Macaca fascicularis: one gene and its partners. The protein of the gene in region 1 interacts with the protein of each later gene in a pairwise test. Links are inferred from orthologs where the notes say so. Each region holds a gene or a part of one and is shown in the gene's direction. Other genes may lie near its edges.

Region 1 (3,500 bases):
GGCTCTTCCCACTTCGTTCTGCAATTCTCCTTCCTGGCACCATGTGAGGAAGGTGCCTGGCTTCCCCTTCACCTTCTGCCATGATTGTCAGTTTCCTGAGGCCTCCCCAGCCACGCTGAACTGCGAGTCAATTAAACCTCTTTCCTTTATAAATTAACCAGTCTTGGGCAGTTCTTTTTAGCAGAATGAAAACAGACTAACACAAAGAGTCTAGCAATAGAGTGGAGAACAACATAGTTACAAGCCCTGCCCTCAGGTAAAACAAAACAATAATCACATAAATAATTAGAATTGTGATAAATATTCTGAAATAAAAGTAAAAAATGCTAAGAGATCCATCATATTTTCCAGTTGGAAGGCAGGGAATGTTTCTCCCAAAAAGGTTATTTAAGCCGAGTTCTGAAGATAATATGATGTAGTCAGATGAAGGCCTGGGTGTATGTGTGTTGGTGGGGAATGGACGGAGAGAGATGATCTAGCCTGGAAGAGTTGGACAGGTCTGAGGATTCAAAGCAAGACAGTAGGGCTGGAAACACAGATATGAGCAGAAACTGTGTTGTATTGGGCTGCTGAGTCTGGAAAAATACATAGGATTTTGGATGCCTTTGCAGACCAAGCAGCTAAGGACCAATACGTTTCATGGTGACTTGATGGTGTACAAATGTGGTCCCTCTGATACGTCTTCTAGTTGAAGTAATTTATCACTGTGAAATTAAGTCATCAAGTATAAGATGACTGGCTGACTTTTAGCCTGGTAGACAAGCTATTGACCTGGTATGATGAAACATCACTGAGTTTATTTTTATGCCTTTGTTTCCTCTCTGTCTCAGCTGCAAGTGTCCACTGCTTGGGAAAGTGTGGGAAGCTGACTTGGAAGCTTGTCGATTGCTTATGCAGAGCCTACAACTCCAGGAAGCCAGGGGAAGCCTGTCTGTAGAAGATGAGAGGCAGATGGATGCCTTAGAGGGAGCTGTTTGTATAGCTGCTCCTCCCATTACCCCCAGGCTCCACTCCGAGGATAAAAGGAAGACCCCTTTGCAGGCATTGGAAGAATGGAAGGCTCACCTCATCCCCTCTCTGTACTGTGCTGGAGGCGAACAGAAAGAGGTCTGTCCTTTCCACATGGTCTCTAGAGGGGACCCCTATTCTAAGGGGTGCTTTGGGACCAGGCTCCAAATGGGAACAATATATATTGGGAGGGCTTCCCATTGAGCATATAAACTTTTAAAAGTTTCAGTAGCTTCAATATGATTACAAAATAATGTAGAATTTTTGTCAAAGTTTGAAATATAGAAGAGCAAAAAAACCCAACTTTTGGCATATTTAGTTCCATTTTCATTCTAATTTAGTGGCTAGAATTAGAATATGCAGTCTAATATAGAATTACCATATATAGCATACATTATATATGTCATATATAACATAGTTATCATATACACTATAGATTATATATGCCATACATGATATTTGACATATATACTATACATTATATACCATGTATCATATGATATTTAATTATATATTTAGAATCTATATATTACAATATATTATTATTTATTTGAATGAAACATTCAAATATATGTATTTATCCCATTAATTGTTTTTACCAAAACCAGATCGTAATGAATATTTATAATGTTCTTCTTTCATAAACACAACTAAAGTTTGGCCTGAGATATATGTATTAGAAATTAAAATATGGTTTTATTTAACTTTACTTTTCTCTCCCCTCTTTCCTCTCTCCCTTCCCCTTCCTCTTCTCACTTTCCTCCTCCCGCCGTAACAAGAGTCTTTTCCATAAAAAGGCCCTGGGAAGTTTTTCCTGATTTCAGTGCCATGACCTGAGTCTTCAGAGCTCTTTGTTGGCCCAGGTTCCCAGGTGTTCTGAGTGTGAAAAGGAAATAGCATAGAGAGGCTGGAGGAACGTGACACATGGCCTTCAAGTCTCATGGTTGATGTTAGATGTTAGCTGTGCTTCCTCCCTGGGTCTTTGCCAGGACTCACCACTGGTGGGTGAGGAAATTGTTACCTCCCCAGGCCAGCCCTGGCAGCCTCACATCCCTTCTGCAGGACCATGACCTTCAAAGAGCAGACATTTGTGTTCTTAGTCACTGCCTCTGGACTGCTTGGAAAATTGATCCTTGATCCTATATTTGGATTCCATGGTCTTATAAGAAAGCAACCATTGTCACTCTGCATCCTTGCTGGCCCAATCACAGGCTCTACTATAATTTATAGACATCTGACCTCTTTTGTTAACCCAGTTGCTGCAGGTGGAATCCTCCAGCAAAGCCTGGTTTCCAGTGCTCTGGGTAGAGGTGTTGAAAAGTTACCACGTGCTGCAGGTGGATGGTTTGAAAGAATATTCTGGGATGGAGGGAAGTGCCACCTAAGCAAGGGTTTATTCCCGGGTGGAAGAAACTGCAGGCTCCGGAAATGAGTCTTTGAAGGTGTGGCTGGCTTTTCAAAGTGAGCTTCCGGGAGGAGCTCAGTGTGGGGCAGTCAGAAGCCATGCCAGGTATGTGATGGAGTCCATGGGTCATTGATTCTGCTGGAGGCCAGGACTGATTCAGCAGAGATCCCTTACTCCTGTAGGGGAGAAAAATCATTATCTTTCCTTTATGCATCTAAAGGTTCTCAGCTGAGGCCCCTATGCAGACAGAGTAACAAGAGAAAAATGTGCAAATTTGCTTTATATAAAATTTACATGACACAGGAGGCTGCAGAAATGAAGACCCAAAGCAACAGAAACCAGTGTATTTTTATGCTTAAGTTTGAAGAATAGCAGACAGATGTGGAGAAGTATAATTGGACAAAAGGAATAGGATCTAATGGCAATAAACTGCGGGGAGCTTAGCAAGGCCTGTTTGCTCAGATTCTTCACTGCATCCCTGTGTCTTCAGAGATAAGGACACTCCTTTCCTTTGGGTATAGGTTGTACACTTTAAGGATGAGGGTGGTCAGCGATGGTTAGAGGAAGGTCAGAGAATTATCTATGGCCTGCTTCAGGAGAGAATGGCTGTAGAAGGTCAGAGAGACTCCTGCTTCTGCTGTTCCTCAAATGCCAAGGTGCCATATTTTGGGGTAGTGCATTCTGAACCCCATCACTCTCTTCCTCCCTCTCTCCCCGCTTCTCCGCCCTTCCCACTGAGCCCTGAGCCCTCTAGGCTCTCTGAGGACAGACTTTCCCAGGCATAGGAGGATTCATTTTCCTGCATAAGATTATAAGCACCTGTCAATTTCACTATCTGGCTATAAGAACACAGAGCTATATTTGTTGAAAAATAGGAAGCTTGGGGTCAAGGATGAATAAAGAGTGGAACCTTATCCTAGGTCCTGTGGTGGCTGCTGTTTGGGTGCTCCAGGGGTCCCCCAGAAAGCCTCCCAGATCCTCTCCACCAACTGAAATGCTGAGGATGTCCTATATTTATTTGTTGCCGTCTTAGGGGAGAGTGGGTGCTTTAGAGGGGACCTTATAGCTTTTGCTGGCTTTCGCTATC
Region 2 (3,500 bases), on another chromosome or scaffold:
CCAAACGTTGGAGAAGGTCTTTCCCCAGGGTCTTCCTTCTTTTGAAGGCCGAGTGGTCCCCCATGGAGGAGCAGGTTGGACTTGTATTGAGAGTATGATTAATACAGTTTTTCACATACCTAGTGGGTGGTTGGCTGGGGGCTAACCTTAAATGTGACCCAAATGGGAACAGGTAGGTTTCAGCCCCCTCAACAGCAGTGGGTCGTGGAGGTGCATAGTGGTGTCAGACTGACTCCTAGGAGGCCCCCCCGGTGCAGGTCCAGCATACAAACTTAGAGACTTGGAAGCAGATTTTGCCAGTACACTGGCCTCTGTGCCTAGACTCCCCAGCTCCCCTTCCCGGGTCCTTTATGTTGCTCGTCTTTTTAAAAAGCACATCTGGCTCCTATCTCCTTTGCTGAATCTTCTCCGGCTTCCAGTAGCCTTGGGGCCGAGCCAGCTCCATGGCACAGCTTGTGAGCCCCCTAGAGACCTGCTGCTACTTCTTTCCCTTCAGATCCTTCTCTCATTTCCCACACCTGAGCCCTCCACTCCAGTCACCATGCACCCTTGCATTCAGCCCTGGCCTGCTGTCTCCCGTCAGCCTCTTGCCCTGGTGCCTGTTGGCTTCTTGGTGCCTGAGCTGCTTTCCTCCTCCAGCCTCACCCAGCAGCAATGTGGCGTCTGTGAGCGCTTCCTTGAGCCTGGGCCTCTCCTCCCTCCCAGGCCGACTTAGGTGCCCCTGTAGGCTTCCTATAGCCTGTTGTTTAATTGTTGTGTTTGTCTGTGTCCCCAGTACATGGTGTGTCTTCGGCCTAAATGGAGCCTGGCATGTGGCAGTCACTCAGCGTGTGCTTGTGGAATGAGTGCGTTGAGTGAGTGGGACTCCTGACTGGAGGTGTCCTACACTCTGGGTGGCTGTCAGGGATGCTGGAGAAGGAATTTCTGCATTTGACGGGGCTTGAATTAGATCAGTTTTTCCCCCCATAATTTTATTATTATGTTAAAATCCCTATAACATAAAATTTGTCATCTTAAGCATGTTGAAGTGTACACTTCAGTGCTGGTAAATTCAGTCATGTGCAGCCATCACCACCTTCCATCTCCAGGACTCTTCTTGCAAAACAGACTCTGTCCCCATGAAACACTAACTTCCTCTTCTCCTGTCCCCCGCCCCTGGCATCCTTCATTGTACTTTCTGTCTCTATGAATCTGACTACTCTAGGGACCTCGGATAAGTGGAGTCATAGAGTGTCCTTTTTTTGACTGGCTTATTTCACTTAATATAACATTCTCAAGATTTATCCATGTTGTGGCATGTATCAGAATTTCATCCCTTTTTAGGGCTGAATAATATTCCATTGTGATGGATATACCATATTTTGTTTATCCACTCAACTGTCAATGGTACAGTTTGCTCCCATGTTTTAGCTATTATGAATAATGCTGCTATGAACATGGATATACAAATATCTCTTCAAGACCCTGTTTTCCATTTTTTTGGATAAATACCCAGAAGGGGAATTATTGGGTCATATGGTAAATCTGTGCTTAATTTTTTGAGGAACTGTTATACTGTTTTCCATAATGGCTGTATCATTTTACATTTCCATCAACAGTGCATGAGAGTTTTAATTTCTCCTTATCCTTGCCAATGCTTGTTGTTTTGTGTTTTTTTAGGAGCAGCATCCTAATGGGTGTGAGGTGGTTAGATAAAATCTTAAGGCACTTATGGCTGGGATTCTACGATCCCATTAGAAGTTTAAGGCATGGGTCAGCTTTATTGACCTTGAACACACACATTCACATTTGACAGCTTGGGTAGACTTGAACCAGGATTCATTTAGCTTGGGTGGATGCTACTGTTAATGACCAAAGTGCTGAAAGTAATAGTTATCAAGATATGCTGTGCTTTGTATGTGATAATAACATGTTCAAAAAATATTTTATCCTTTGAATTTCATTGTAGACAGAGAATCTGTCTCATGAGCTATCTTTCAATGGCGATGTTCTATTTGTTACGTGTGCGGATCTCATTTCACCTAACACCTCATTTCCTTCCATTTGGACGACAAGCTCTCCAGTGACGATGCGGTACGGAGGGTTTTAGCTGGAGAGAAAGGAGAAGTGAAAGGCCGGGCCTCACTGACCTCAAGATCTCAGGAATTGGATAATAAGAATGTGCGAGAAGAGGAGTCCAGAGTTCACAAAAATACAGAGGTGAATTGCAAGTCGCACATCTTTGAAAATGAAATAGTGAGTCTTTTTGTAGTTTAGGTAAAAACGTTCATAAATGATTTTATTTTTATTTCGTAGGATAGAGGAGACTCTGAAATAAAAGAGAGAAGTACAAGCAGAGATCGAAAACAGAAAGAAGAATTGAAAGAAGACAGCAAGCCAAGAGAAAAGGACAAGGACAAGGGGAAGGCCAAGGAGAATGGCGGAAACAGACACAGAGAAGGGGAGAGAGAGAGACCCAAAGCCCGGGCCAGGCCAGACAGCGAGCGACAGAAAGACAGAGGCAACAGGGAGCGGGACAGAGACTCCGAGCGTGAGAAGGAGACAGACAGAAAGAGTGAGGGGGGAAGAGAGAAGGAGAGACTGAGAGACAGGGACCGAGAGCGCGACCGAGACAAAGGGAAGGACAGGGACAGACGGAGAGTGAAAAACGGGGAGCACTCCCGGGACCTGGACAGGGAGAAGAACAGAGAGCATGACAAACCTGAGAAAAAGGTAAAGTCTTCCTGAAAACCTCGCCTTTTGCTTAGCAAGAGTTTGTGGTGGCCTCAAACATGATTTTTATCTTTCTTACAGTGTGACTAGGAAACTGGTTTTCTTTTATGCCTATTTAAAATTACGACAATCTTGGATTCTCAATAGAAACCCAAAGAGATACTTATTTCTTGTCAGTTGTGTTTTGGGTGTTTTTGGTTCATCCCTTAATAGAAGTTTATTGTTCAGCCAATCATTTATTAAGGCATTATTCAGTGAGTTTTTAACCATTTCCTACTTCATGTCTAGGGAGACGTCTGCTGGATTATAAGCTCCCTAAGAGCATAAGCCAGAGATTTCACTCATGTTCACTGTTGGATACCCAGTCTGGTAGAGTGTCTGACACACAGCAGCTTTGCAGTAAATACCTGGTGGTGGAATGGATTGAGCATCCAGGCAAGGGGTGATGGGCTTTTCAGATCAGGAAACATTGGATGAAATTGATCAATTGATAGTGGTTTCTGAGGTCTCCCTTTATGGAATTTTGATCTGGGAGTGGTAGAAGATAATTTGAAGGGGGAAGTCAGGAAAATATTATTAAATGCTTGCTCTTTTTAGAGTTTAATGATTCCCCACCAGGCCTGTAGAGAAATCAGCGTTTTTCAGAGTTTGAGCTGATTTGCCACGTTGCTCTTGTCCTTGTCTCGCAGGTGTTTTAAGATGTGTGGCTTCTCCCGTGCGTGTCGTTTGTGTCGTTTGTGTCACTCTCAGTATTGCTCTGAAGGCTTTGGAGCAGCCTCCACCTTAGC
Region 3 (4,215 bases), on another chromosome or scaffold:
CTACCTTGTATGACCTTGGTCAAATCCCCCCTGTGGCCCTCAGTGTCCCCCTCTGTACAATACTCCATAGCAGTCATGAGACTCCCTTTACATCCTGTCTTTGGCTCTTTTTTTCTCACACTGTCTCCTCTTTGGATTGGGGATGCTGGAAAGCTGGCTTCCAGTCACCTGGAGTAATTGCATCTCTGGGCCTCAGTCTCCTCATCTGTAAAAATGGGGATGCCCTGGCCACAGACAGGACTGTTGGGGAGGCAATAAAGGAAGAACGCAAATATTCAGTGTAACTCTTCCCCAAGTCTCTTCACACTCACCACATGCAGATCCGGGGTCGGGGCAGCGGCGGCTGCGGAAAGAAAGCGAATTGGGGAAGGCAGCTGTGGTGTCCTGGCCGTCGCGAATCTGCAGCGGGCCCCAGAACTCGCTGTAACTTGCCATCTCATCTCAACGACTAAGAAGGAGAGGCGCGGGCGAGGGCGGGCTTCAGGAGGCCCTAGGTGCTCTATGCGAGCACAATAACCACCAGGGTCACACACCCCTGCCTCTCCTTGCCCAGGCAGCGCGGGAGACGTCCCGAACGTTAGTAAGCATAATGACGATTGGTGCCTGCGGGGGAGCCCGTTTATAAATATTCACGAGCGGACCAGACTGTCCCGCCCTCACCGGGAACAAGTTGGCTCCGGGGTCTTCATCCGCTTTCGCCGCCGCCGCCGCCGTCGACTGGGTCCGCACACTCGCTCGCGTCCGCGCGGCCGACCCACGCGCTGAGATGCGATCCTTCCCCGCTTCCCGCCGCAGCTCGGAGAGATGTTCAAGTTCCGACTGCACCCTCATTCCCAAAAAGTGGCTGGTCTTGCGGTTGAGCATCTCGCCGCTCTTCCGTGCCGCGGCGCGCCCCGGGCTCCCGCCGCCTCGGTTCCAGGACAGCCAGCGCTCGGTCTGAGGCTACCAAGGCCGGGCCCGCTAGCCTTGCTCCGGCCAATCTGCGCGCCGAGAGGCGCGGCGGAGCGAATCCGTGGGGGCGTCTCCCTCCGTCTCAACGGCGACGGTTGCCAAGGGGGCTTGTGAAGGAATGAAGGCGGGAAACGCAAGCTCACGCCAGTGGGTGCGAAGAGAACGCGCAGATACGTAAGAAGTTGCGAGTGCCCACCTGAGCACCCTCTCTTCCAAGTTGTTAATACGAGGGCCGGCGCTGTCCTCAAGGCCGGGAAGTGGGAGCTTGGTGTCAGTTACTATGGGAACTGCCTCTTGGCCAATCACCGAGAGAAAGAGAAGGTGTTTGGGAAGAAGCCAGAGGACCCGAGAGGCGGGACCAAGCGTAACCAATAGAAGCAGAAGATAATGAAGTTTCCTCACATCCGGGGCTGCCTCCGGCGCCTGCGCCCTGCGCACCGTTGGGGGGGCCAGCAACGTCCAGTGACGTCCGGTGAAATCCAAGATGGCGGCGCTAGGCTGACCCTGTTGCTGGTGAGGGCTCTGGCGCCGGCGGGGACGGGATCCAGCAGGTGTGTGCGGGGTGGAGGGTGTTTGGGGCTGTGGAACACCAGCCGTTCCCACATCTCTGCTCTCTGTCTTCTGCAGGTGACGGAAGTACCGCCTCCTCCCGTCTGACGCCCCTCAGGGGACCCTGCGCCGCTCCAGCCGCCGCGGCCATGTCTGGGCTAGGCAACAAACGCGCCGCCGGCGACGGGGGCTCAGGGCCCCCGGAGAAGAAGCTGAGTCGTGAGGAGAAGACCACCACCACTCTTATCGAGCCCATTCGTCTTGGAGGCATCTCTTCCACGGTTCTTGGGCTCTTGCCTTAACCCTCAGAATTTCCCAGAGCCCTCCCTCTGTTCCCTGGCCAAATTGTCCAGAATCTTACACCCACTTCCCCAAGTTTAGCAAGGTCCGCGTTACAGGATACTCTGTTGAAAGAAGCCGAGAACACGACGCCTGTCTTCCCTTTACAGATAGGAAAACAGGTTCCCAGGGGGCGTGTGACTTGTCAAAGACTAAGGAGTTAGAAGGGGACAGGCAGAAACAACGTGAGCCTCCTCACAACCAAGACACTTTCGCTGTGGGTTGTGTGAGCCTCCTTAGATTCTGTTAGCGGTTAGTGTGGGAATACCCCCATCTCCCATGCATTCCAGATGCTCTGCTCCTCTCTTTCTGTGTGATTGGTTTCTGGGCTCTGCTTGATATTCTCGTCGGCCCCTTTGTTTCCTTTGGTAGGAGGAGATGGACCTGAAGGTACTACAGTTCAAGAACAAAAAACTGGCAGAGCGGCTGGAACAACGGCAGGCTTGTGAAGATGAACTCCGAGAACGAATTGAGAAGTTGGAGAAGCGGCAGGCCACAGATGATGCCACACTCCTCATCGTCAATCGCTACTGGGCCCAGGTGGATGCCTTCTGCTTTCCAAGACCAGGCCTTGATTCAGCTGCCAATCCCCAGATTCCCCTGCTGGAAAAGGGGTATAATGTTGGAAAGCATTAAGGGATTCATAACATTTTTGATGCTTTCTCCTTCCAGCTGGATGAAACTGTGGAAGCCCTTCTCCGATGCCATGAGGGCCAGGGGGAGCTGTCTTCAGCGCCTGAAGCACCTGGGACCCAGGAGGGGCCCACATGTGATGGGACTCCTCTCCCAGAGCCGGGGACATCAGAGCTGAGGGGTGAGACCAGAGTTCTGGGATCTAGGGAGCTTCAGTTCTGGGAAAAGTCCTGGGGAGGAGGGGACTTTGGTGTTGGGCCTCTGAATTGCCTGCCTTACTACTCCCCACGAAATGGATTTCATGTTTGGGTGGTAAAGTGCAGTGCACAAAAATACAGGCTTTGGACTCTGACTAACTTGGTTTATAGAGCAATTCATGTTTTGACACCCATTTGTTTGGAAACAGTATTACGGTTGAGTGTTAACTATGTATTTGACGCTTTCTAGAAATGGGTACTTGCTCATTGCATTTGCTATGAGGGAGGAAATTACAAACATAGTAAGCAGAAAGTACTGGGGCTCTTGAAAGGGAATAATTGTGTGTGCACATGTGTGTGTGTGTGAGATTCTAATTTTTATTGGGAAAGTACAGGAGGCATCTCTGAGGATGTGATACGCAACTCTGTAGCTTTGAGGAAATTACTTTACCTCCCTGAACCTCATTTGTCTCACTTTCAGGATGGAGATAATAGTGCACTATAGGTTGTGTTGATTAAGTGAGCCATGAATATTGAAGGGCTCAGTCTGGAACTTAGTACAGAGTGGTGGTAACTGCTGCTATTATCCTCATGAGGGTCTGTCCATTCCTTCCAGAGCCCTTGCCATTGCAGCTGCGGCCCCCTCTCAGTGAGCCGGCCTTGGCTTTTGTGGTGGCACTGGGTGCCAGCAGCAGTGAGGAGGTGGAGCTGGAGCTGCAAGGCCGAATGGAGTTCTCTAAGGCAGCTGTGTCTCATGTGGTAGAGGCCTCAGACCGCCTACAGCGCCGGGTGGAGGAACTCTGTCAGCGAGTGTATAGCCGAGGTGGGTTCTTTGTGCCCATACCCAAGAGGTGTCCATCCCTACCTGCATCTTGATGGCACCCCTTTCCAATTCCCCTAATGCCCAAGTCCAAGGGTGGCCAGAATTCCCCAAGGAATATATCAGCCACGTTCTTGGGAGGGGTAGGTTAGGCTGTAGATGGGGGTTCCAACTTTGATTCCTGGACTGAATGCTAGAGAGATGGGTTGGAGGAGCTGTTGATGCTAGTAGAGCCTCCTGTCCAGAGGCCCCTCTGGAGCACTTTGTGTGGGTTGCAGATCCACAAGGCATAGCTTCAAGGGCTCAGGCCTTGTAGGTTGACAGGCTTCTCCCACTTCAGTTCTGCCACCCTCACCTGGACGTGCTGGGAAAGTGGCTCCCCTCTCTGAGCTGGTTTCCTCCTCTGTGCAGTGGAGATAAAGACTCCTAGCTTTGTCATGAGAAATTGGCAAGACAGCCGGGGGATCACACTGGGCACATAGCAGACTCCAGAATGAGTTAGTTCTTTGCCCCATTGCCCTGAGCTGGACTCTTAACCTGGGCCCTGCTTTCCCAGGGGACAGTGAGCCCCTCAGTGAGGTGGCTCGGGCACGCACCCGAGAGCTGGGCCGTGAGAACCGGCGACTGCAGGACTTGGCCACCCAGCTGCAGGAGAAACACCACCGCATCTCATTGGAGGTGAGGAGCCAGGGGCTTTGGGAGTGGGATTAGAATCAGGCAGGATTT
Region 4 (4,137 bases), on another chromosome or scaffold:
GCCCCACAACAATTGTTTTCATTTTTTTCATTTTGTTTTATGAAAATTTTGCTTATATGCATATTTAGACAACCACACAGAGGAAAGGAGGTGACCTAGGGAAAAGAATGTTTTCAATTAAAATTAAGCCTTATGTTTTATCTCATACACATTTTGCTGGGGAAAATAGCCATGTTATGACAATAATATTCTAAAACGCAAAATGTATAATTAACTATTAAGGTAAACATCACAGTCTGACTCTATAATTTTTTTTTATTTTTGTCTATTACTCATTTCAGTCGCAAGCAGTTGAATGTTTGACATAGAAAAATGAGTCTGTCACTTTAACAAATGGTACAATAAAAACACTCAAACAAAAATTTTAGTAGGGATTATTATAACTATAAAAAGAATATCTTTCTTTAAAAAATGCTACCAATGTTTTCTATCAATTTGGGGCTCGCCTGTTGCATAAAAGTAATAAGGAACAAGATGAAGAAGACTTCTATTGGCAAAGAATGATTTACATGCTGAATGACATAATACAACTGCATTCACTTAATACAGAAAAAAAAGAGCCTGCATTCAGAACCATTAAATGATCATTAACTCAATGTCTAAGAAAATGGTGTTTTAAGAATTGGCAGCAGAGAAATGGAAGAAAGAATAATTTGTTAGTAAAGAAGTTTTATCATAATTCACAACTGAAATTTAGGATTTGAGAAAAATGTCTTTGCTCCATTATAAGAATATTCTTTATTTTAGCAGGAAAACATGTCCCATGAGACCTACACACACATTCTGCCTTCAGAATTCAGCTGCTGTGTTCTGCTGCTGCTTCTCTTATTCAGACTGTTGGCATCATCAATACATGACTTTTGCAATCAAAAATCTCAAGGGGAAAAAATAACTTTGGTAGGCAGTGGATACATAACAAATGCATAGATTATTCTGGGCATTTCTTTTTATTTGGTAGAGTGAAATTTTTGGTGTTGTTGAGAGGATAAAAAAGGCATTTAAAAGTCAATTTTAAATCGGGATTTTCTGCTCTGTTATAAATTCACATGAAAGTTACAGAAAATATTGTTATGGTTTTGTACTGAATAGTTTTTGTGTTTGGAAGGCTTTAAAAGCTAGTACTATGTCCACTGTGCTATTCTGGTTTGGATATTAATCAGAACACAGTTGAGCATTATTTGAATTCACAGAGCTTGCCATGCTGGAAGCACAACCTTATATGTAGTGACCATGGACAGTCCTATTATGGGAAACCAACTTGAGAGAGAAGGCGGGTCACTTGCTTGTGCGCAGGTCCTGGAATTTGAAATATCCAGGGGCCTCTACAGAATCCTGGCATCAGTTACTGTGTTGACTCACTCAGTGTTGGGATCACTCACTTTCCCCCTACGGGACTCAGATCTTAGAGGCAATTACCTTCAGAGAAAAATGAATAGGAAAAACTGAAGTGTTATTTTTTTAAAGCTGCTGAAGTTTGTTGGTTTCTCATTGTTTTTAAGCCTACTGGAGCAATAAAGTTTGAAGAACCTTTACCAGGTTTTTTTAATCGCTGCCTTGATATACACTTTTCAAAATGCTTTGGTGGGAAGAAGTAGAGGACTGTTGTAAGTACAAAGTAACTAAAAATGTATTTTACTGTGGCATAATGTTTAGTTTGTGACAAACTCACTAATTAGGTAGATTGATTTTAAATTATCACAGTAGTTTGCAAAGAAGCATAAATGTTATATATACTGCATATATATATGTATTTATTCAGGAATATATATTTTTCATTGGGAAAACTTTTCAATAGAAATTGAGTTTATAAGTTTTTCTTTGCAGAAGAATTAAACACATGATTTCTTGATTAATAAGCCACTGCAGTAATAGAATATGCAGAATGTCATTTGATTATAACAGATTATTTTGATTGCTGTGAGATAGTTTGTATATCTCAGTTATTATTTTGACTAGTTGATACTTCTGTATTTAGTAACAGTTACATAAAGGTTACTGACCTGACATATATTCTCAATTGAACTAACTACTGTATAGGAACTACATGGAGGCCTAAAAGTTAGGAGAAGTTTCTCTGACATATGGAGAAAATAAAGAATAAAATGAGTTGGGATGGAAAATTGAAGGATGTGAAAAGTATTGATAAAGATTTAATTGTAATGTTGCTTTCTCACATTTACTATTTCAAATGCTCTTTTCTATAGCATACCATGATGATTATTTCAAATAATGATGTGATCTATGCTATCAAATGATCAGATGATCTCTTGGGAAAACAACATACAAACTTGAGGAACTCCTAATTATGTTTAGTAGTAAATTATATTTAGTAGATGTTTCAAGTCTATCATGAGCTAGCTTTTCAGTTCAATTTTTTAGTTTGTCTTCCATATAGAAATGCAACTATTTTGTTTATTTTTAAGAAAGTCATGATGACTATTGAAGGATTTAAAAATGGACTGTGGCACAACAGTAAAAATAATATATGATAAGGACTGTGTGTCCCAAAAAGATGGGAGTTTATCTCTTCCCCACCTATCTTTGACTTGTGGAGTATAGTTATTCTAAAATAGATATGAGAGCGATGCCTATAATTAAGAATGAAAAAATAAGTCTCTCCAAATAAGTAATGCTCCACAACTACTAAAAAAAAAAAAAAAAAAGGCAGACGTTTTACCACTGTGAAAAATTTGTGGAAATAAGTTAACATTGTCCATGTATTGAGTCACATTAAAAGCTACCAGATTTTATAATACAACATTTAGTTACATTGTTTGCTTGCTTCATAAATTTCTTTTGGTGAGTATCATTATTGCTTTTAGATTGAAAAACTATTATATTTACTATCATTACAAAAATATGCATGGCATATATCTGTTGTTTGCAATATACACATATACACATATTTTTATTTATCATTTTTATTTCTTTGATATATGTAATATAAATACTATCAAAATCGCTAGTGATTTTATATATATATATATATTCTATATAATTAACCACATATACCAGTATATAGAGCAATTTTGAAAGAATATATGCAATTCTGCTGGAATGAAGCAAGGTAAACCTATCCTCTGCTTTGTCATAGATAGTTGAAAAACTTTCAGTTCTTCGAATGTGAAGGAAGGTAATCTTTTTGGAACATGTCCTGTAGGATTTTTTCACACTGCATTTAAAAAATCATCAAGTAATGCCTATGCAACATGACAATGAGTTTGTTAAGGAAAATGGAGATATACTCAGGGCTATATTATACATTAAATTTTGTTGCTTGACAATATACTACTATTTGGATGTCTGACATTTGAATCTGGTTTGTAAATTCGCCTTAGTTTGAAAAACTTATAAAAGTACATTTTGTTTTTTAAACAGAATAGTTACTCTGTAAAAGAGATCACTGTATTGTCAAACACATTGTATTGTTTACTTTTAGAATTACTCAAATAATGCATTGTAAAGAATTATTCAAATAGTGTATGGCAAATAGATATTTCATTTGAATATATTTAAATGATGTAAGTCATCTTGAGGTCTAACAAAATCATCTTTTAGAATTTCATTTGCAGAATCTTTTAAAGACATCTTAACTATGAAAAAGAGATCGCTGATCTAAATTGATGATATACTGTTAATACAAAGTTTTGGTGTATCTTACATGGCATAACATTATGAAAAATACAACAGAGTATGTCATATAGATGTTATTCTAAACTTTAAAAAAGACTACAAAGTGTTTTATGCATAATTACATTATTTAAGGGGAAATAGGTGTTGGTTGACACTTCTAGCTAGACAGTACTGAATTGCAAATTCATCATTTGGGCAGAGATATTAATACAGCTTCCTCTTTATTCCTATAGCATTCATTTGAAATCCCTGTACTCCACGTCATTTGCTATATATGAAACAAATTGTCAAGTTTTTAACCACTTGTGTAGTTTAATAAAAGAGATTAAAATCATTGCCTTGGAAACATCAGGTGTTTTTCAAAATTCTATTTTATTATCTTTCATCAAAATTTTATCTCAAGAGTAAAACAAACTGATTTCCCAAACTTTCCTTCTCCTCCCACTTTCTATTGTAATATTTTCCTAACTTATTAAAAATGATTTATCATACTCTTTCATCAAT
Region 5 (3,500 bases), on another chromosome or scaffold:
TACAAAAAACTAGCCGGGCGTGGTGGCGGGCGCCTGTAGTCCCAGCTACTTGGGAGGCTGAGGCAGGAGAATGGCGTGAGCCCGGGAGGCGGAGCTTGCAGTGAGCCGAGATCACGCCACTGCACTCCAGCCTGGGAGACATAGCGAGACTCCGTCTCAAAAAAAAAAAAAAAATAAAATAAAATAAAATAAATCTGGCCAGGTGCAGTGGCTTATGCCTGCAATCCCAGCACTTTTGGAGGCTGAGGCAGGTGGATCACCTGAGGTCAGGAGTTCAGGGCCAGCCTGGCCAACGTTGTGAAACCCCGTCTCTACTAAAATTACAAAAATTAGTCGGGCGTAGCTGGGTGCGGTGGCTCATGCCTGTAATTCCAGCACTTTGGGAGGCCGAGATGGGCGGATCACCTGAGGTCAGGAGTTCAAGACCAGCCTGACCAACATGGAGGAACCCCGTCTCTCCTAAAAATACAAAATTAGCCGGGCTTGGTGGCGCATGCCTTCAATCCCAGCTACTCGGGAAGGCTGAGGAAGGCGAATCACTTTAACCTAGGAGGCGGAGGTTGCGGTGAGCCAAGATCAGGCCATTGTACTCCAGCCTGGGCAATAAGAGCAAAATTCTGTCTCAAAAAAAGAAGAAAAAAAGCCGGGCATGGTGGTGCATGTCTGTAATCCCAGCTACTCGGGAGGCTGAGGCATGAGAATTGTTTGCACCTGGGAGATGGAGGTTGCGGTGAGCCGAGATCGCACCATGGCATACCAGCCTGGGCAATAAAGCAAGACTCTCTTAAAAAAGAAAGAAAAACATACTCTTGGCCAGACACAGTGGCTCACGCCTATAATCCCAGGACTTTGGGAGGCAAAGGCAGGAGGAGCCCAGGAGTTTGAAGACTAGCTTGGGCACCGTAATGAGGCCCTGTCTGTACCAAAATAAAAATTTTAAAATTAGTTATGCATGATGGTGCATGCCTATAGTCCTAGCTACTTGGGAGGCTAAAGCAGGAGGATTACTTGAACCCAGGAATTTGAGGCTTTAGTGAGCTGTGATCATGCCACTATACTCCAGCCGGGGCAACAGAGAGAGTTGCTGTCTCTTTTTAAAACAAAACAAAACTTTGCAATGCTGTGCTATAACCGCACTATCCAGCATGGTAACTGCTAGCCACGTGCAGCTGTTATACTCTTGAAATGTGGCTAGTGAGACTGAAGAACTGAATTGTTGGTTGTATGTAATCTTAACTATTATATATTAAAGTAGGCATACATGGGCCGGGCGCGGTGGCTCAAACCTGTAATCCCAGTACTTTGGGAGGCCGAGATGGGCGGATCACGAGGTCAGGAGATTGAGACCATCCTGGCTAACCCGGTGAAACCCCGTCTCTACTAAAAAATACAAAAAACTAGCCGGGCGAGGTAGCAGGCGCCTGTAATCCCAGCTACTCGGGAGGCTGAGGCAGGAGAATGGCGTGAACCTGGGAGGCGGAGCTTGCAGTGAGCTGAGATCCGGCCACTGCACTCCAGCCTGGGCGACAGAGTGAGACTCCGTCTCAAAAAAAAAAAAAAAAAGGCGTACATGGACAGTAGCTACCATGTTCAACTGTGCAGTTCTAAGCCTTTTTCTTAAATTAATGTGTAGATGAATGTGCTGTTTTTTATAAAAATGGTATACTCCTTAATGTAGCTTTGTAGCAAACCTTTAATTTAGAAAGTATGTGATCCTTGCTCGTGTTGTTAGATGCTCTTCTTGTACATTGATCTACAGACAGTGCTTTGCAAACATCTTTGTTAACTGAATCTCTGGGCATGTGCTTAAAGATAAATTGCAAGAACGGAACTGCTGCGACGGGAAATACGGATGGATGGATGGATGGATGGATGATTGGATGCATGGATGGATGGATACATGGATGGATGGATGATTAGATGGATGGATGGATGGACGCATGCATGCATGGATGGATGGATGATTAGATGGATGGATGGATGGATGGATGAATGATTGGATAGATGGATGGATGCATGGATGGATGGATGATTAGATGGATGGATGGACGCATGCATGCATGGAGGGATGGATGGATGGATGGATGGATGATTAGATGGATGGATGATTGGATGGATGGTTGGATGGATGGATGGATGGATGAATGGATGGATGGATGGATACATGGATGGATGATTAGATGGATGGATGATTACATGGATGGATACATGGATTATTGGAGGATGGATGGATGGATGATTGGATGGATGATTGGATGGATGGATGGATATATAGTGAATGCCTGTATATCCTTCACCTAGTTAACATGTTTCCTTCATGTATGTGTGTATATTTTGCTGAAATCATTTGAGAGTTCCTTGGAGACATCGTACACTTTACCCCCAAGTATTTTAGCATGAACCACCTAGGAACAAGGATAGTATATAAATAACCACAATAAAATTAATCACACTCAAGAAATTTACCATTGATAGACTACATATTCAGATTTGTTCTTGTTATTTCCATAATGCCCTGCGTGACTTCTCTTTAACCCTCATCCAGGACCCAGTCAAGGATCATACATTATATTTGCTGGTCATGTCTTACGAGTTTTCAGTTTCCTTTAATCTAGAATTCCCTAGACTTTTATTTTCTTTTGGTCTTTTGGTGTCTTTTGATGTTTTTGGTATGTATAGTTTTATCATATTATTAAATAGATGCTATTTAAACATTTTGTCCTTTCACTAAGTCAAGTAACTTTTTTGTTTTTAAGGTGGGTCATGATAACTGGGTACGTGGAGTTCTGTTCCATTCTGGGGGGAAGTTTATTTTGAGTTGTGCTGATGACAAGACCCTGCGCGTGTGGGATTACAAGAACAAGCGATGCATGAAGACCCTCAATGCGCATGAACACTTTGTTACCTCCTTGGGTATGTACGCCTCGTGACGTCTCTGACATTAGATTTTGGAGTGCCAGACGTAACAGTGTTTTACATGATCATGTGAACTTTGCCAGGTAAGAAATGACCATGTGCTTTCAGAGCAGAATAGAGAAGACAGATGAAAATTTTGTGGATTCCTACCATTTGTTTTAAATTCTCCTTTCCTGGCCGGGCGCGGTGGCTCAAGCCTGTAATCCCAGCACTTTGGGAGGCCGAGGCGGGCGGATCACAAGGTCAGGAGATCGAGACCACAGTGAAACCCCGTCTCTACTAAAAATACAAAAAACTAGCCGGGCGAGGTGGCGGGCGCCTGTAGTCCCAGCTACTCAGGAGGCTGAGGCAGGAGAATGGCGGGAACCCGGGAGGCGGAGCTTGCAGTGAGCCGAGATCGCGCCACTGCACTCCAGCCTGGGCAACAGCGGGAGACTCCGTCTCAAAAAAAAAATAAATAAAATAAAATAAATAAATAAATAAATAAATAAATTCTCCTTTCCTTAACTCTTTGTATCGTTAGCCTTATAATAAAAACATTACTTTCTGCACTGCACAACATTGGTTTTGGAAACCAGAGTTTA
Region 6 (3,941 bases), on another chromosome or scaffold:
TGTATGTATTTTGCGTGGCTAAGGCGGGAGAAGAAGGGCTGCGCGGGGATTGGGGGAAGCGACTTCGCACTCTTCATTACAGAAAAAGGATCATGTATACCACTGTAAAACATCCAACCTTTAAATGAGAAAGTGGGTGAAGTGAAATCGCTCTCACGTACACATATTCCGCGTTACTTCTTATCCGCCAGCCAAACTTTCTCCATCAATCTGGGTAGGTCTGACACGAAAATGCAGCCTGAAAGAAATGCTGAGTCCTGAGGCGGCGTGTGTTGCCTCACCCAGTGCTGGCTTTGGAGTTACCTGAAGCCTTCTAGCTACTGCACCCAAAGAACAAGCTTCTCGGTTCAACTCGGTTGTTTCCGTGGGGAATTGCGGCACGAGCAGGTACTGGGTGTGGCGATGCCAAGAGAGCGCTCAGATCTCCCATCTTTCCCGCTTCTGGCAAACCTTCCCGGTCCCGAATCGGCGAGTGACCAGCACCCGGGACCCGCCGTCCCGCATTCCGGGGACCGCGGTTGGACCCGACCCCGCCGCAGCTGCAAACTGCCGAAGCGCCCAGCTGAGTGCACTGTGCGTGTGCGCTTCTCCCCCACTCTTTCCGCGCCTGGAGGCGGATCCCCTTCCTTGCACACAAGTCCTTATATGCACCGATTGCACCAGCCCGCTTTACTCCGGCCCCACAAATAATTAACAGGGGAGGGAGGGTGTCGCTTTTTTTTCCTCCGGCTTTTTCTCAGCGGGAGAGCATTTGAACCGAGGAGAAACCCCAAGATGAGACTGAAGGGCCATTTTGCTGCAGTGCACGAATTGGCCACACAAAAATACAGCTTGGGTCCCTATGATAAGCAAGTCAAGGTTCAGGAACAGCCCTTCGGATTTGGCCCCAGGAGCCCTCAAAAGCCTGGGCGGAAAGGGTGCGCGCCCCTCCCCCCTCCACGCTGGCGGGGAGGGACCGGGTCAGGAAGCGCGGCCTCTCCCCAGTCCAAGACCACGCCTCCTCCGCCTCCCCCCCACCCCCTTCACTCCTCCCAGGAAGCGGTGATAGACAGTTCTGTGTGGTTCTCCACCCCCACCCTCCCCCCGCTGAGTGGAGGAGTTGATGTGTCTCATTATAACAGCCAATGCAGCCGCCATCCACGCACAAGCAAAGAAGCATGTCCCATTTAAATACACCCACGCAGCCCCAGCGCCCTTAGCCGATCGGGGCGCTCAGCCCACACGCACCGCTGCTCCGGGCTTGGAGATCCGCGCAGGTTGGGCTCCCGGACCCGGCGGACCGACGCGCGGAGGATCGGGATCCGGCGCTGTGGGGCTGGGGTGGGCGGGGGAGGCTGGGCCCGGGGCCTCTGGCGCGATACCCGCATGAGGACGCGAGTGAAATAGACCAAGGTGGAATTTCCAAGGGAAAAGCTTGGGGGTGGTTTTGGTCCATTTCTCCAGCGAAGAAGTAGACATGGCGAGCGACTCCCCGGCTCGAAGCCTGGATGAAATAGATCTCTCGGCTCTGAGGGTGAGCAGGACATGTTTTCTGGTTTCTTTCCAGTGGTTTGGGTCAGGGTGAATGGGCTCGGTGCGTGGACTGGGGGCAGGGGCTGGGGCTGGGGGACAGCAGCGGGAGAATGCGTCGGGGAGGGAACCTGGATTCCCGTTTTGATTCGGGGTTGCTGAGGTGCTCCCGGCTGAGCCCCTACGGCAGGGGCTGTGCGGTACGTGTCTTCCTTTGGCCGTGGCCGAGGCTCTCCCGAGGGCTCGTGGAGCTCGTGGAGCTTATGCTTTCATCTTATACCGGTGTAAGAGCAGTAAAATGAAAGGTGTGTGTGTGTGTTGGTGTGTACGTGTGTACACGCCCCGGGCAGTTGTCTGGTGCCAAGGAGCGAGACCCAACTGTCCCTTCTGCAAAAAGAATGCCAGCGTGAATAAAGGCACTGGCTCCTCACGTTTTCCAGCTACCTGCAAGATGACATTGTGAGGCTGACTGTCCCCGCGAAGCCGAACCTGCCGCTCCAAGGGGGCAGTTATTGCTATGCTTGTCTTGTAGATGGCAACTGTCTCCCCCTCCCCCTTTTCTGCCTCCCGCACCCGGGCGCCCTCTCAGCGCTCCCTTAAATGCCAGTCTGCCACTCACCTTTATTTATGGCTTTAACTCAGCCCTGCCTGTGCTTTCTGACTTTGTGGCTGTAACGTTTCAGTTTTATGGCTGAACTTAAGCAGGTGAAAGGGATGTGTTTTCTGCTTTTCCTCAATCAGACCGGAACTCCCTGGAGTGTGTGCGAGTGTGTGTGTGTGTGTATGTGTGTTTTCCCCGTGTCTGTGGCCGGTCCTTTGTAGAGCACCTCCCTCCCCCCAGCCCCACTGGTTTGCGTTTACCTTCACGTGAATTACCTCAGACGCCGTTTCATTGTATTGACTAAGACATCACTGATACAGAATCCATTTTGCTGTTGTTTTGAGATCAGAATACCAGGAATCCCAGTGCTGCCTTGACGCTTCCCCACCCCCAACTCCCGATCCCAACACACTCCTTCGGGGAAGGGGGCAGAGCTTTCTTGTCATTTTAATTAGATGCTGCCTGCTGGGAAGGGGTGAGGGGTGGGGATGGTGGCAGCAGCGGGTGTCTGAGAAGGATTGGACACCAATTTAAGGACTGCTTCTTCCTCTCCCGAACCAAAAATAAAATTTAAAAAATAGCGAGTGCATGTACTTGATGTATGGAGGGTGGATGAGAAGGAATTGATGGTGGCTTTCTACAGGGAGACACCAGGATGGATGAAGTATGGAAGTTCACACGCCCTCCTGAGGAATACATTGTTAGATTGATGCTGAATCTTGGGGCCATTTACCTGGATTCCTAGTACTTCTGACATTGCCTCTTTCTGTACTGTTATATTAAAGTGCTACCTTTGTGATCAAAGTGGTACTTTCTCTTTGGTCTCCTTAATTAAACCTTTTCCTCCACATCTCTTTTAATAACGCTTTCTCTCTTCGTCTTAATCTGTTGGGCCAAGAGGTGAGGCTTCAGCAAGGCAGGTAAGGAGTTGAGAAGAAACAGAGATGCCGTTTGAAATGGGCTGTTCTGATAGTTGGGCAGCCGAAGCTCCTTCATGCATTATTACAGGAAGCTGTCTATTTCCCTGGAGTGGAAATGCCACATCAAGAACCGGCTGCCCCCTGCGCAGCGGGGTGGGGTTGGTAACAGGGTGGGTGCATTGGCCAGGTCTGTGGCTTCCTGCTTTACCGACTGTGTGTGTTCATTTGCCCTACTTTCTGCGCTGGGAGTTGCTGCCGGCGGGTTAATCAGGTGGATGGATGGCCCAGACTGGGGGTGGGGTGCTGCGAGTCGGTCGGGGGTCGGGGTGGCGGAGGCGGGGGGCAGTGGCAAAGGGGGAAAGGTTCTGAACAATGTGCAGGGTTTGCGGTGATTTCCCTGGGCCGGAATCTCCACCTTGCTCCTCTACTGGAAAGCAGTCTGATGTGATTTTTAAGTTGGGCCCGGACTTGTCCCTTGTGGGCTTTTTCCTCGGGAAGGTTTTCTGAGATACCAAGCACAGAGCCTGCAGGCACGAGAGCAACCGCTGAGGGCCACCGGGCGGATGACTGCGGATCACACTTGGGGTGTGCATTCTTGTGATCTGTATTTTGAAAACATATCTTTGCACAATGCACTGAAATTGCTCTTTGTGGCCTGGGCTATCAGCTTAGGGCTCTGCTGCTGTTTTTCTGCCTGCTGGGAGGTGTGGAAACAGAGAGGGCAACAGCTAGCTTGGGGACCAGGAACTGCTGGCTAGAAGACTTAGATGCAGATGCAGATGTGGAGACAGTTGCAGATGTGGGGCCAGGGTCTTTGACCAGTCTTGTGGGTGAGGTGTGCCTGCTGGAGTGGGTCCAAAGGCCACATAGGTAATCTCCACAAATCAGAGGGCAGATCATCTCCACCTTCC
Region 7 (4,251 bases), on another chromosome or scaffold:
TTATATAGTCGGAATGTGCTGGGAACCAAAGGCAGTCCCCAGGCCCCTGTTACCTAGTCCACTGTGCAGGGCCATCTTTGTGAATAATTAAGACTAGTCCTTACCACAGCCCACCCAAGCCTTTAAAACTCACCTGGGCTTTCTCTTTGTACAAAGACTTTAGATTCCTTCCTTTACTAGCTTTGTGACTGGTCAGGTCTTTCAGCCTCGCTTTCCGAGCTATGAAATTGGGGTAGTAATAATGCTTACCCCAAGCCAGTGGTAGTCAACAAAAATATGCATAAGTGAGCAGCAAATGGAAACCAAGTATGTAATTTTATATTTTCTAATCTCAAAACAAGTCATTTAACACAATGTATCCAAAACACTATTATTTTGATAGATCAATATTTAAGAATCAATAATGAAATATTTCACATTATTTTAACTTACTGAGCCCATAAAATCCAGTGTATACTTCACACTTAACAGCACATCTCAGTTCAGACTACCTACGTTTCAATGTTCGGCAGCCACCATGCCTAGGGTCTACGGAACTGGACAGCCTAGCTCCGAAAGCTTCCCTGAGGATCAGGTGACCTAAGGGGTGTAAGGGGCAGGGCCATCAGCTGACACATCAACGTGGCAGATATATTCCTCCTGTCTTTCCTCTCTGACACACACACACACACACACACACACACCCGCAGAATTTTCCACATTTAAAAGGCCTTTACAAGGACGCAGGAGCCCAAAGCAGACATGTGACAAATCCAGCCCTTTTCTAGACCCCCCAACTCCCACCCCAGACCAAGCCATCTTCCTTCCCTGTAGGGGCGAAAGGGCGCCCACCCTGCCATCCTGCCATTCCTTTCAGGCAGCTGCCCGTCGGCTCCCCGGGGCTCCACACTCCTCTCCACGCTGCCCACCGCCTCCCAACGGCGCCCTGGCCCCTGCCCAGGATGCGGGAAACCTTTGCTACCCGCTGGAGAGCCCAGTGCAAATGGGTCTTCAATTTCCAGTTCCCCACTCCAAAGGGTACTCGACACCTCTCCCCGCCCCCTAGGAGGCGAGGACCCTGTTCCGAGGCAGCCCCTCCCCCTGGTTCCGGGGCCCCGGTCTCCAGCCCTCCTTGAGGGTCCAGAGTGGGCGGGGCGGGGTGGGGACTGCGGCGTAAGCGAGGAACCCAGTCCCAGGGGTCGCCCGCGCCCGTGGATCCGGCAGGGGGCTGCGGCGGGGTCCGAGGTCCGGGCACCGCGGTGACCGCGGGACAGCGGGGCCGGCGGCCCACCCCAGACCCAGCGGCAGCCGCAACGGGCCGAGCGCCCCCACACCTCGCACCGCGCCCCGGCTCCCCCTCGCGGTGCCGCAGTCCCAGCCGCACCACCCCCGCGGCCGCAGCCCCGCCCGTCATGACGTCACCGGGCAGGGCGGGTCCCCGGGTATAAAAGACGGAGCTGGGGGGCGGCGGCAGGTCTCCGCGCAGCTAAGCCCGCCTGTCCACGCCGCGCACCGCTCCGAGGGCCAGCGCCACCCGCTCAGCAGCCGGCACCATGCGCGAGATCGTGCACATCCAGGCGGGCCAGTGCGGCAACCAGATCGGCGCCAAGGTGGGTGCGCTGCCGCGGAGGGACCTGGGGTGGGGACCGAGGGTGCGGGCTGGGGCTGGGGCTGGGGCTGGGGCCGGGGCGGGGGCGGGAGGCCGCGGCGACCCCGGGCTGGCTGGGTGGCACATTCCGCGGCGAGGCCGCCGGGCGGGGCCCGGGAGGCTGCATGACCCGTCAGGATGCCCGCAGCGCCGCAGCTGTGCGTGCGTTTAATCCGGGCCCTTTCGATTTCCCTGGGACACAGCCCTTCTGAGGGACGCGGTTGGCATTCCGCTGGGTGTATTTGTCTCAGAAGCTTGGGTCGGGGCTACGGTCACATTTATTGCGCTAGCTTCATATGAATTTAATTTGTGTATTTATCTCTACGGTTTGAATGAAAACATGCAGTGTCACTGGACTGACAGATGTAACAGAGGCTTCCCTTTGGGTCGTACAGGCGAGGGTGTTAGATAAATTTCCTTGCTCGGGCACTGTCTTGACATGATCACATACAACGCGATAGTTTTGCTGCCAGTCCCCGAGGCGGCAGGTGACTGCGCTGGGCGGGGGCTGCAATTACTGACCGCTGTGTGGGAGGCAGCAGAGGGCCTGGTGCATGAGTGGGGGCGGGAGCCAGTACAAGGACGTGGTCTCTTTGAGAACCGCCATGTTGCCCACCCAGCCTCCCCGCCCCCTCCCTGCCGCAAATTCACAATGGAGCCAGCGCCCTCACCATGGCCAGCTCCTTCCACTGCCGCCCAGGTGCCCTCCCAGGCTCCTGATGCCCTTCGCCCAGTCCCTCCGGTGGTCAGTGCTAGCATTAAACCTGCACTGTTGCAGGGGTGCCTGGGATCTGTGCCAAGAGAGCTTGATCCCTGGAGGCAGACACAGGGTGGGTCCCCCTGTCCTTGGTCCTGCCACGACCCATCAATCATCCCGGATGCAGTGGCATTCAGCCCTGCCTGGGGTGACAGAGCCTCCCTGTACCCCTTCTCGATTTCTCTACCCTCCCCACACTCTCCCTAGAAGGGCATCTGCTGTGCCCCCTCCTCCTCCAGGGCCCCTCCCAGCCTTTCAGTCTATCGCCATAATATGGCCGATGCTCTGCAGATTTTCAAGCCCCTCAGCAGCGGCTGCTGCAGGAAATAGGGGGTGCAGCTCTTTGCTCTCTGTCTAGCACTTACTGTCTGACCACAAAAGCCCCTGTTCCAAGGACATGGGAGGAGGACAAGGCCATCCTTAGTGACATTCAGGATGCAGAGCCATGGTGTGGTTCTTGTTTCATTTCAGTTTTGGGAGGTCATCAGTGATGAGCATGGGATCGACCCCACAGGCAGTTACCATGGAGACAGTGACTTGCAGCTGGAGAGAATCAACGTGTACTACAATGAGGCTGCTGGTGAGTAGCGGGATGTGTGTGCCCAGGAATCCTTGTTTTCCATGATGTGGGAGATGAAATGTCCTAGGAACATGCACGTGACAAAGGCATGCTTCTTGCATATTCATTTCAAATGCCAACTGCTGGAAAAACACGCTTTATGGTTTCCTAAGAGTCCTGCCTGTTTGCCACAGTTAAGCACGCTCAGGACCTCCTTTTTCTTAAAAGCAGAAAATCTCCTGTTCTCCTTTTGTCTCAGATGCTGGAATTGAATGCTGCTGTGAGTCCATCCCTAAGCACAGGTCTGAGTCAGTTCTTGTTTCCTGCAGGTAATAAATACGTACCTCGGGCCATCCTGGTGGATCTGGAGCCTGGCACCATGGACTCCGTCAGGTCTGGACCCTTCGGCCAGATCTTCAGGCCAGACAACTTCGTGTTTGGTATGTAGTCATGATCACTGGGAACTGGCCAAATGACACCTTCTTCCTAACAGCCCTGCAAAGCACAGTTCGTAGTGTTCAGTGCTGAGGTGACACTGTGTCCACGGCAGCCCTGAGTCCTGGCCTAGCTCCATGCAGTCCATGGGCGGTCATGGCTCACAGATCAACGCCAGCCTGCAGAGGGCTGCCGCAGCTCTTCCATTGCAGAGCAGCCTCAGACTGGAAGGAAGAAAGAGCAAGGAAAAGCTTCAAGCCAGGCTTCATAGGCTATAGGCAACTTCAAAGGACTTCAAAGAGTCAGGGGCCAAAAGCACAGGTTATGACCGGAGCTAGACAGATGCTGAGGCCACCTTCTCTCCTAGTCACACTGCTTTCACCTTGCCTGTTTAATTGTACTTGAGTATAAAGAGAATGCCTGTTAAAAATGTATGTATTTCAGAACCAATTAAGTTTTCTAACCCTATCCTCTTCCTCAGTAAATAGCCTCCGATGAGCTAAACTTACTTCTTAACTTTATTATGATCCCCAGTGTTTTTGAGGTCGCTGACACAGAAAAATATTTCTTCAGGTAAAAGAAGAGTATTCAAAAGAGAAGAATCTGCCAGTCTAAGACCAGTCCTACCTTCTCCTCCATAGTCAAAATGACAGATTTTGAAATTCCTTATGTTTTAGTGTCTAATGTTCACTTTCCCTCTGGCAGGCCAGAGCGGAGCTGGGAATAACTGGGCCAAGGGCCACTACACAGAGGGAGCCGAGCTGGTCGACTCGGTCCTGGACGTGGTGAGGAAGGAGTCAGAGAGCTGTGACTGTCTCCAGGGCTTCCAGCTGACCCACTCTCTGGGGGGCGGCACCGGGTCCGGGATGGGCA

Evidence for each region.
Region 2: the proteins of DISC1 (region 1) and TRAF3IP1 interact in binary tests that used the Homo sapiens proteins (3 or more experiments, as listed by UniProt). The link is inferred for Macaca fascicularis from reciprocal best matches to the Homo sapiens genes DISC1 and TRAF3IP1.
Region 3: the proteins of DISC1 (region 1) and RNF40 interact in binary tests that used the Homo sapiens proteins (3 or more experiments, as listed by UniProt). The link is inferred for Macaca fascicularis from reciprocal best matches to the Homo sapiens genes DISC1 and RNF40.
Region 4: the proteins of DISC1 (region 1) and DMD interact in a two-hybrid assay, tested with the Homo sapiens proteins (2 studies listed by BioGRID and IntAct). The link is inferred for Macaca fascicularis from reciprocal best matches to the Homo sapiens genes DISC1 and DMD.
Region 5: the proteins of DISC1 (region 1) and PAFAH1B1 interact in a two-hybrid assay, tested with the Homo sapiens proteins (2 studies listed by BioGRID and IntAct). The link is inferred for Macaca fascicularis from reciprocal best matches to the Homo sapiens genes DISC1 and PAFAH1B1.
Region 6: the proteins of DISC1 (region 1) and TNIK interact in binary tests that used the Homo sapiens proteins (3 or more experiments, as listed by UniProt). The link is inferred for Macaca fascicularis from reciprocal best matches to the Homo sapiens genes DISC1 and TNIK.
Region 7: the proteins of DISC1 (region 1) and tubulin beta-2A chain interact in a two-hybrid assay, tested with the Homo sapiens proteins (2 studies listed by BioGRID and IntAct). The link is inferred for Macaca fascicularis from reciprocal best matches to the Homo sapiens genes DISC1 and TUBB2A.

The regions. Positions count from the first base shown.
Region 1 is NC_088375.1:17,082,038-17,085,537, reverse strand, and holds part of DISC1 (disrupted in schizophrenia 1 protein), read left to right. Parts: intron 1-830; coding exon 831-1,107; intron 1,108-3,500. UniProt on the Homo sapiens protein: Involved in the regulation of multiple aspects of embryonic and adult neurogenesis. Required for neural progenitor proliferation in the ventrical/subventrical zone during embryonic brain development and in the adult dentate gyrus of the hippocampus.
Region 2 is NC_088386.1:134,242,586-134,246,085, forward strand, and holds part of TRAF3IP1 (TRAF3-interacting protein 1), read left to right. Parts: intron 1-2,055; coding exon 2,056-2,199; intron 2,200-2,295; coding exon 2,296-2,712; intron 2,713-3,500.
Region 3 is NC_088394.1:28,931,132-28,935,346, forward strand, and holds the start of RNF40 (E3 ubiquitin-protein ligase BRE1B), read left to right. Parts: upstream 1-1,415; 5' UTR 1,416-1,502; intron 1,503-1,578; 5' UTR 1,579-1,649; coding exon 1,650-1,781; exon of another isoform or gene 1,782-2,091; intron 2,092-2,211; coding exon 2,212-2,379; intron 2,380-2,511; coding exon 2,512-2,653; intron 2,654-3,285; coding exon 3,286-3,492; intron 3,493-4,045; coding exon 4,046-4,167; intron 4,168-4,215. Other genes in the region: CFAP119 (cilia- and flagella-associated protein 119), read right to left, coding at 312-343, 661-864.
Region 4 is NC_088395.1:33,307,148-33,311,284, reverse strand, and holds the start of DMD (dystrophin), read left to right. Parts: upstream 1-1,337; 5' UTR 1,338-1,573; coding exon 1,574-1,604; intron 1,605-4,137. UniProt on the Homo sapiens protein: Anchors the extracellular matrix to the cytoskeleton via F-actin. Ligand for dystroglycan.
Region 5 is NC_088390.1:2,806,446-2,809,945, forward strand, and holds part of PAFAH1B1 (platelet-activating factor acetylhydrolase IB subunit alpha), read left to right. Parts: intron 1-2,756; coding exon 2,757-2,913; intron 2,914-3,500. UniProt on the Homo sapiens protein: Regulatory subunit (beta subunit) of the cytosolic type I platelet-activating factor (PAF) acetylhydrolase (PAF-AH (I)), an enzyme that catalyzes the hydrolyze of the acetyl group at the sn-2 position of PAF and its analogs and participates in PAF inactivation.
Region 6 is NC_088376.1:82,933,349-82,937,289, reverse strand, and holds the start of TNIK (TRAF2 and NCK-interacting protein kinase), read left to right. Parts: upstream 1-1,141; 5' UTR 1,142-1,456; coding exon 1,457-1,513; intron 1,514-3,941. UniProt on the Homo sapiens protein: Serine/threonine kinase that acts as an essential activator of the Wnt signaling pathway. Recruited to promoters of Wnt target genes and required to activate their expression. May act by phosphorylating TCF4/TCF7L2.
Region 7 is NC_088378.1:169,917,117-169,921,367, forward strand, and holds the start of tubulin beta-2A chain, read left to right. Parts: upstream 1-1,451; 5' UTR 1,452-1,532; coding exon 1,533-1,589; intron 1,590-2,855; coding exon 2,856-2,964; intron 2,965-3,272; coding exon 3,273-3,383; intron 3,384-4,083; coding exon 4,084-4,251. UniProt on the Homo sapiens protein: Tubulin is the major constituent of microtubules, a cylinder consisting of laterally associated linear protofilaments composed of alpha- and beta-tubulin heterodimers.